Linked DNA regions of Drosophila melanogaster. The protein of the gene in region 2 interacts with the protein of the main gene of each other region in a pairwise test. Each region holds a gene or a part of one and is shown on either strand. Other genes may lie near its edges. The genes, in order: Frq2 and CG14191.

Region 1 (5,075 bases), 900 kb from region 2:
AGGCGTCGACATCGTGTTTATCTAGGCAGCCCAACTATTTATAATAAAAGGCTGCCAGATTAAAAACACCAAAATAGATTCTGTATCTGCAGCTGCATCATCTCTGGCTGTATCTGTATCTGTATCCGAATGTATCTATACAACAAAATAGCAATAAATGCGAAAACAATGAGCAAACGTTCGAACAAACAATTCTTACAGAACCCACCCCCCCCCTTTCGGCACGCCCCTGACCTACACAACCAGAATAAATAAACAGTAATTATAATTGGCCTGTTTCGGTCTCGAATTCGATTCTTTAGGCATCGGCATCGCATTCGAGGCAGCATGAGTGAGTAAGTCGCTGCGGGCGTTGCTGCCGCAATCGACGTCGATGACGCGGTATCGCCCTATCCCCCTCCTCCCGCCCCCCCAAAAAAAAGCGCCCCTCTTAGGTGCGACCATTAAGGCCCCCTCTTTCGTGCACAATTGCGAATTTATTCTTCGCGCGTTCGCTGGCGAACTGCAAATTGAAACGGGAAATGGAAATGCTGCTTCTGCGTCAGTTGATCGTCATAATCAATGATCGGCAGGCAGATACTTCAACCAATCTAATCGGTTCCAAAGAGATCTTAAGAGACCATTTAGTTGATGGAATACATAGAGCAATTGAGAAACCAATCAATGTGTATGTATTGTATGAGCAGCTATAAACTTGTGCTTCATTTCGAAGAACAATGCATTTAATTATAGATTACTTTTCGAATAGCATTCGATGCTGGCAGGAATTTGAACTTAAATACTTTGTTGGCAACTTAACAACTACAGTATATACAGAAGATTTATGGGCATTTAAACGAAAATCAAATGTTTAATTATAATATTGAAAGTGTTGCTTTTTGGCGGCTTTTTGATCCGTTGGCCAGCGTAATATAAAACAAACTATTTAAATTCGAGTGTAGAATAAGATTGGATGATAAGATTGTGCCAAAAATATCTTAAAGATTCTTCTAGTTTTGTTCTCTATTCGAAGCGAATAGAGATGATCCAAGGCAATAAAAAGGCAAACAAATTGATACCGATTCTGTGAAAGGGGGACAATGTTTTCGCTTATTTGACATTTTTTGAAAAATTAAAACAAAAAAATAATGCAATACAGATAAACACATAAGGAGAATATTTAAAGTGGTTTAGCATCTGTAAAGTAATAAAGAGCATTGCCAATTTCTATAAACCTAGTAGTTTATTAGATTTAAGAAATATTTAAATAGTTAAATTCAATTAGTAATTTGACCTTTTGGCCTTTTCCTTGCTGACTTGAGTGTTTTAAGTTCTAAAAATCGAAATGAATGGATTAAAGAGGTTCTATTTGGCGATAGTGTCTGCAGAGTTCGCCTAGGTGTTGTTATATTCAACCGATCTAAACACATGTATATATATATATATACAAATACGAACAGCAGCAGCCCAATAAACGGTTCGTTTGATTTGACTGCCGGCCCGCCTCCGTATCTTTATCTGTATCTTTAGATATAGTATCTGTATCTGTAGCAGGGGCAGGCGTTTTATTGTTTATTTGCCCGCCGCTTTGCCTTTTGTTATTCGCCAGAATTTTTATTATTTACTATATTTAGGCAGAGGCCAAGAGGAAGAGCAACCTGCTGAATAATTAGTCACAGCCCAACCACGACAGGCGGCACCTGCAAGAAATGCAAAGTAAATTCTTCAATTGCTCAATTCCTCAGCCCATCCCTACGCCGACTGCGCTGCTGACGTCGACGCCAACGCCGACGGCGACTGCGACTGAGGCCCAGGCCATTTGTGCGACTGCTGGCATTCGATTGCCATTCGCACAAGTTGCATGTTCGCGACTCGATTTTCTGTTTCGGTTCGGTTTCCTCATTGTTTTTTTTCGGCTTCCTCTATTTATTTTAATTTTTTTCCGAATTTTTGTTTGTTTTTTTGGGTTGCTCGCGTGCGCTGTGCATATTGGAAATCACCACCCGCCCATTTGCCACCCACTTTGGCCAGCAAAAGCAACGCCAAATAACAAATAAAAAAAAAAAAAATTTAAAAAAAAAAAAAACAGCCAGGGAATTCTAATTAAGTGTGCGCGCTAATGCGTTAAACTGCTAGCCAATTTGTTTTAAAGCCAAAGTGAAAAGGCCTTTATAGTCCATTGTTGGCTGCTGTTTGTTGCTGTTTCGCCTTCAATATTTGAGTGGAAATTACATCCATAATTACGCTTAATCAGTCGATTACTGTCATCGCAAACACGAACCAATCCGCAGACCCACCGCCGCGTTTGATGACCACACAAATGAGTGCCAGGTATGTCGTTACTTAGCCCCGGATAAACAATATCACCCCTAACCTCCCAATCCCAATCCCAATCCGAATCCAGCTAACCAGATAATTAGGCAGATTTCCCGCGGTGGTTTTGATGGTCAGGATGGATGGGTGGTATTTTGGGTGGCAGTTTGCGATTGACAATTGGCTTGCAGTTGCATTCGATTTGCGGTCCACGTGCGGTTGCATTTATCTTTGGGCACATACCCTGCGGTTATTACGACAGTTTTAGGTCGATGACTTTGGCATTCCTCGGTTTATCATGGAAAATGCGATTTTAATCATAGTTTCTGGGTTCTGCGATGCGCCGCTATAGCAGCTTGTGGCTATCAATCACATGAAGATCACATTAGGACACCAAGTGATGCATGTACTCGAAAAAGAACTAAGTAAGAACTGATGGCCATCAAAACTTTCTAAGAGCTTATCACACGCTAGATTTTATTGTATGAATATTCAGAGATATAAAATATATGTATAATTGGAATTTGCCAAAGATGCGAAAACTAATTCAATTTAAACGTATCAGCTACAGTAAATAAAGAAGCCAGGAATGAACTGCACTGCTCCTTCGTTTAACAAGGCATCTGAATCTTTTGGTGAGTGGGATTCGTTTCAAGTTGCTGCAGACACAGGCGACACATACGCTTGTAGATGAGGAGCTCGGGTGGGGGAAGTGGTAGCAGTACGTACGAGCCCGTGGGCTCGAAACCCTTACTCCTATATTCCACATAGAGCGACTGCCTCCAGAGTGAAGTTTTTGGGAAATAGCCGATTAGCAGGAAGTCCAAGGACACCCGCCATTCACCAGCTGTCGAGTTTAGGGCCACGGCGAAGATGGCGAACGAGGCGAGCAAGCGGAACACATCGAAGACATCGCCACGCAGGAACAGATTGCGCACTGCGGCCGGACAGCAAAAGATCCAGGAGCCCCATTGACCGCGTCCCAGGGCGATGAAGAGCTCCTCGAAGAGGCTCAGAAAGGATTGCCACAGCTGGCAGTCGATCCAGTGCACCAGCTGGAGCAGTAGCATTATTTCGGACAGCAGCATCAGGATGTGGACGCGGTGACGACACCGGCGCACCCAAAGTGATCGATACTGCATGATGGTCATGAGTGTGCCGCATCCAAAGTAGACTCCCGCCCAGCGTTCATTGTCGCCCACGATGTGCTTAAGCGATGGATCCAGTGGCGATACCATGCCATGGATCAACGGACGCCAGCGATTCCAGCGCACCAACATGCCAATGGCCAGGATTAGCCAGGTCTCGTAGAGATCGCGCAGCATTTCCCACGACATGCTGAGTTCATGATATCGATTCATCTTGGGCTGGAAGGGAATAATTTTGGATACTATGTACTGTGTAAAGGTGGAAAATGTAGAAAATACTGAATATCTACGTGTCGACTACTTTGATTGGCCATCCGGTAGCTTTACTTGTTGGGGATGAGCATAACTACCACCTCATCGCGCAGGTTTATTGATTAGCTTATGTTCTCACCTTAAACAGTTCACGTAAATGAGGCAACAACTGAAGCATCTGTAGTGGCACCTGCAAGTGTTTATGCATCGCTCTCTTTTTGTTTTTCATCTCCTTCTCCCTTGCTCGCATTCCATACTTGTACACACTTTCTAACACACACACACACACACATGTGCCCGAGGCCTAATAGTCGCCACAGTGGACTGGATACTTTAATTTCCCATTCAAAAATATTAACGAAACTTTGCTTACACATATGATTATTTTATTCTATGCAGAAATTTAGTGCTGCATACTTTTAGACACCTTACGAAGTTTTTTAAGTCTTACTCAGTTTTTTATAGCTAATCTTCTTAGAAGTGCCAAGTGGTGAACTAAAGACCCCCCATTGAATTAAATTTCTTTGCATGCACTCAAACGAAGATAAGAAAAATAATTATATCTAGGTATTTTTCTAATTACTGCATTTTCTTGTTTTTTTCCACAAACTGACATTCGCTGCAGGCGCTGCCTCCAAGGTGTCTGGCAACTAGAACTAACCCCATCGTGCCACCACCCCAACTGCCAACTGCCACCTGCCACACACACCCACACACACAACCAATGCCCCCCGTTCTACCCCCTCACCCCCTCTGTCGTCGGGCCGAAGTAAACAGCATTCGAGGGTAGTGTAAACAATCATTGACCTCGTTCATATTTCTTGGAGCGCTCGCTCATTTGCCTTTGGCCCGAGTCCCAGACGTTGACTCTGCCTGGTCGCAATTAAAATTGTTGTTTAGCTAGTTGCCCCCATGGACGACGTCGCCCCCTGGTCACCCCGTCATCCTGGTCCCCATTTACATTCCCATTCGCATTTCGTGGGGAAAACAGAATCATTCGGCAGGCGGCATTTGGGCACCAATTAGCCTTCGAGAAAAGAGGCAAAAATCTGATTCCATTGCGATTTCTCTGCCCCGGCAAATGATGATGAGCACAAGGCACAAAGGCAAGAAGCCAGAAGGAATTAGGAATCAGGAGCTGAAAGCAGCCCAGAGCCCAAAAGAGCCAAATCACGATAGGCTCAATGGCAAAGACACAAGAAAAGTGAAACAATCAGGGATCCGGTTAATCGGAAAAACCGAACTGGGCCATACGCTTTTATGGCATATTCATTTTAATGGGCATGTTGAGTTTGCAGCACTAAAGTTCCGATAACTATTATCCACTAAAAGTGGCAAATTTTATATTCAGCTTTATAGTTTTATAGTTTGGCAAGAGGATTT
Region 2 (3,472 bases):
GAAATGTTCATCAAAAATAAATGTCTTCCGACTGTGCTAACTGAAATGCATTATCGGTAATTGTTTTCTGCAAAGCCACATTAAATGTTTTCAACAAAAAGCCTTTGCTATCCAACGTGATTTCTATGCTATGCTCCAGCTTTAATAAAAGATTAATATGCTAAATCACCACTTTTAGCATTTTAGCAATAAGAATATCTTTAAGTGCTGCGAGTGCTGGCCTCTTAGAAAAATGTTCCTTAGATTGGTTTTCCTTGATAATTCGAGCATCGTGCCGCCGTTGGCCATTATAGTCATTCCAGCCGAATATGAAATCACCGACAATCAGCGGGAAATGTATGGCTCATCTATCAGATCGAGAAGTGAAGGTTGGCTTTAACTTCAACTTCAGCACCAGCTTTTGCTGCAACCGAATCGAGTTGGTGGAGCGGCAATTAATAGCATTCTGCTTGACCCATCGCCACTGCGGGCCAAAAGTTAATGGAGCTGCGATCGCGTTGGCCGGATTAATCAAGATCGAAATTGTTTTGGGTACAGAGATGGCAAAGTTACTCAACATAAATGTGGCTTCAAAAACACAGATTGATTTGTCCACTTAGGGTGCAAGAACTGGAACTGGGGAACAACACAAAAAAAAATTGATTAAAAGTCGTACGAAACTAATAATTATATGTGCTTAAAGTTGGGACGAATCTGACTATAATAATACACACAGGTACACCAGCCATCTGGCAATTGAATTCCAGGTACTAATAACAATAAAAACAAAAAAAGTACACTTTTTGCATCGAATTCGTAATAATATTGCGACATAGCATAATTAAGCGTGATCATTTCTATTAAAGTAAAGTACCTGGTTATTAAAATGCCCAGGTACACCGCCCATTTGATATCCACCACTAGATGATGGTGCGATCGCTACCTGTTTATTGGATCATGTTGCTGGCAGCTATTGTTTATTATTTTTGCAACTTTGTGTCGATTTCGATGAATTGCATAACGAGCTGAAAATGCGCCATCGAAAGGTTTTTGGCCCGGCAAGTGCAGTGCCTTCGTCTTCGCCAAGGGTTTCCTCCAACCGACCTGGCGATGCAAGTTAGCCCACTTGACAGCTCCGGGCTGCCTGGATTGCAACATACAGTACAGTCCGCGACATAAATTAGCCCGCAGCGTGGGGCTTGTAACTTGCTGCTGCTTGGAGCAGCAGAGCTTAGAGCTCAGTGCCGCGGGTGGAGATCGGATGCTGTGTGCATGGAATGGCGTCGTGGAGGTTATGGGGATGGGGTGGGGTCAGGGCCGTTGCCCTCATGCAGACAACTGGACAACGCTGGTGATGGTAATGGTAATGGTCATGGTAATGATGATGCCGCAACTCAAAACGGACCATCGCGTGGACCGGCAATTAGTGTGTCAAACACGAGCAGACTCCACACAGTGACATTATTTCTCCGTATTGTGGGGAAATCACTCAAAGGCATATATGGGAAATGCCAATTTAATAATTATTATACTTTATTTCCCTTTAGTGTACGATGTGAAAAACTAAAAACAATAGGAAACAAATATTATACAAAGTTATTGTATATAAGCTCAGATACGGGGGGAAATTGAAGTCTTAAATTACCATAAAATCAATAAAACATGATCGCGAGATTAAAAGTAGTACTATCAACTACTATATAAAGTTGTAAATATACAATTTCAAAAGGCATACCAGTCGGTAATATTCGTCAAAAATGTATGTTAAAGTATGTATTTACCTCCTTGACTTTTCGATTAAAGTGATTACTTTAGTGATTTTTATTGGAGTTGTTTCATTGCGCTGAATACATCTTAAGTATATCTTGCTCCGCCAAGAGATGGATTAATTAGTGAGTAACCATGCCTTGCTGTCCGGTTTGGACGCGACTCGACCCACTGTGCGCCGCAGCTGTTGGGGCAGGGCAGGGTTAAGTGAGCCAAGCTGGTTACCGAGCATCCGAGTCGCTGGCCATAAAAGCGGCGGCCAAAACGCTGCAGACCACAGTCGAAGATCGCCCTTCCAGTCCGACACAGTCGCAGTTCTTCCGAAGCAATCAATACTCTCAAACACGCCAACATGAAGGTGCGCCAATCGCGGATTAACACTTTCACAGAAAGTGAAACCCATTCTTCGAATATTTTTTTATGTGTACCCTTTTGTGAGTTCAACTAACGCGTTTCCTGCCAATCTCTTGCAGGTTTTCGTCTGCTTGCTGGCGGTGTGCAGTATGGCCCATGCGGGTTTCCTGGGCGGCGGCGGCGCAGGAGGTAGTGCCCTCAGCTCCGGCTGGTCATCCGGCGGAGGAGGAGGAGGATATAGCGGCGGATACAGTGGTGGCCATGGAGGAGGTGGTGGCTACGGCGGTGGTGGCTACGGCGGTGGTGGCTACGGCGGCGGTGGCCACGGAGGCGGCAGCACGATTAAGATCATCAAGGTGATCACCGATTCCGGAGCTGGTGGTGGTGGCTACGGAGGTGGCTACGGGGGTGGCCATGGAGGTGGCTATGGAGGTGGCTACGGAGGCGGCTCCTCCGGTGGTTACAGTGGCGGCCACGGAGGCGGTTGGTCATCCGGCGGTGGATACGGCGGTGGTGGCTACGGAAGCGGTGGCAACGTCAAGATCATCAAGGTCATCTCCGACGCCGGATCGAGCGGCGGGTATGGCGGCGGCTACGGCGGTGGTCACGGTGGTGGATACTCCTCCGGCGGTGCCTCCAGCTACTCCGCCGGCGGTTGGGCTCCTCAGGGCGGTTGGGCCCAGAGCAGTTGGTAAATGCTCTCCGTTGGTCAACGGATACTAACTTGTTACTGTTTCTCACTGACCTTAATTGTAAATACTTCCCAACATTAACCAATAAAACAGTGCGGTATAGAAGAGCCATTTCCACTATCAAAACAGAAACTAATGTTTCTTTTTTAGTAATAATCCGATATAGAGATTCTCGATATAAATCCACCTTGTAATTCCAAGAAAATTCGTTTTCAAGATTGTAAGAGCTGCTGATGCATCGCTTACAATCAGTCAGCTAGCAAATGAACCTATCAAAAGGTTACACTAAAAATTTGCAAAATGTACAATAGGTGGATCTCCCATATATGATGCCCTGTCAGGAGTTACGAGGACATCCCCAAGGACCTCAGTCCCGCGCCAGGAGCCGTCTAATGTCCTCCTGCTCGGCGGCCTCCGCGTAGCTCTGCCCCTCGGGCGTGCGCTCCGTGCGGCTGGCTCCCATCCGGAGCAGGAACTCGACGCAGCGTGTATGCCCCTCCCATATGGCCGCCAGGAGCGGTGTGATGCCGTACTTGTCCTTCCTGTCCACCTCCGCGCCGATCCGCACAAAGAACTCCAGCAGCTTCAGCTGGCCAAAGTCGGCGGCGTAGTGCAAGGGGAACCGGACGCCCATCTGATCGTTCACATTAAGCGATCCGGCTAGGAAAATTCGCTCCACC

The links.
Region 1: the proteins of CG14191 (region 2) and Frq2 interact in a two-hybrid assay, tested with the Drosophila melanogaster proteins (one large-scale study listed by BioGRID).

The regions. Positions count from the first base shown.
Region 1 is NC_004354.4:18,175,782-18,180,856, forward strand, and holds the start of Frq2 (frequenin 2), read left to right. Parts: upstream 1-1,830; 5' UTR 1,831-2,310; intron 2,311-2,744; exon of another isoform or gene 2,745-2,903; coding exon of another isoform or gene 2,904-3,653; exon of another isoform or gene 3,654-3,691; intron 3,692-5,075. Other genes in the region: andorra, read right to left, coding at 2,904-3,653.
Region 2 is NC_004354.4:19,079,646-19,083,117, forward strand, and holds CG14191 (uncharacterized protein), read left to right. Parts: upstream 1-2,019; 5' UTR 2,020-2,098; coding exon 2,099-2,104; intron 2,105-2,219; coding exon 2,220-2,795; 3' UTR 2,796-2,921; downstream 2,922-3,472. Other genes in the region: CG7423 (uncharacterized protein), read right to left, coding at 3,160-3,472.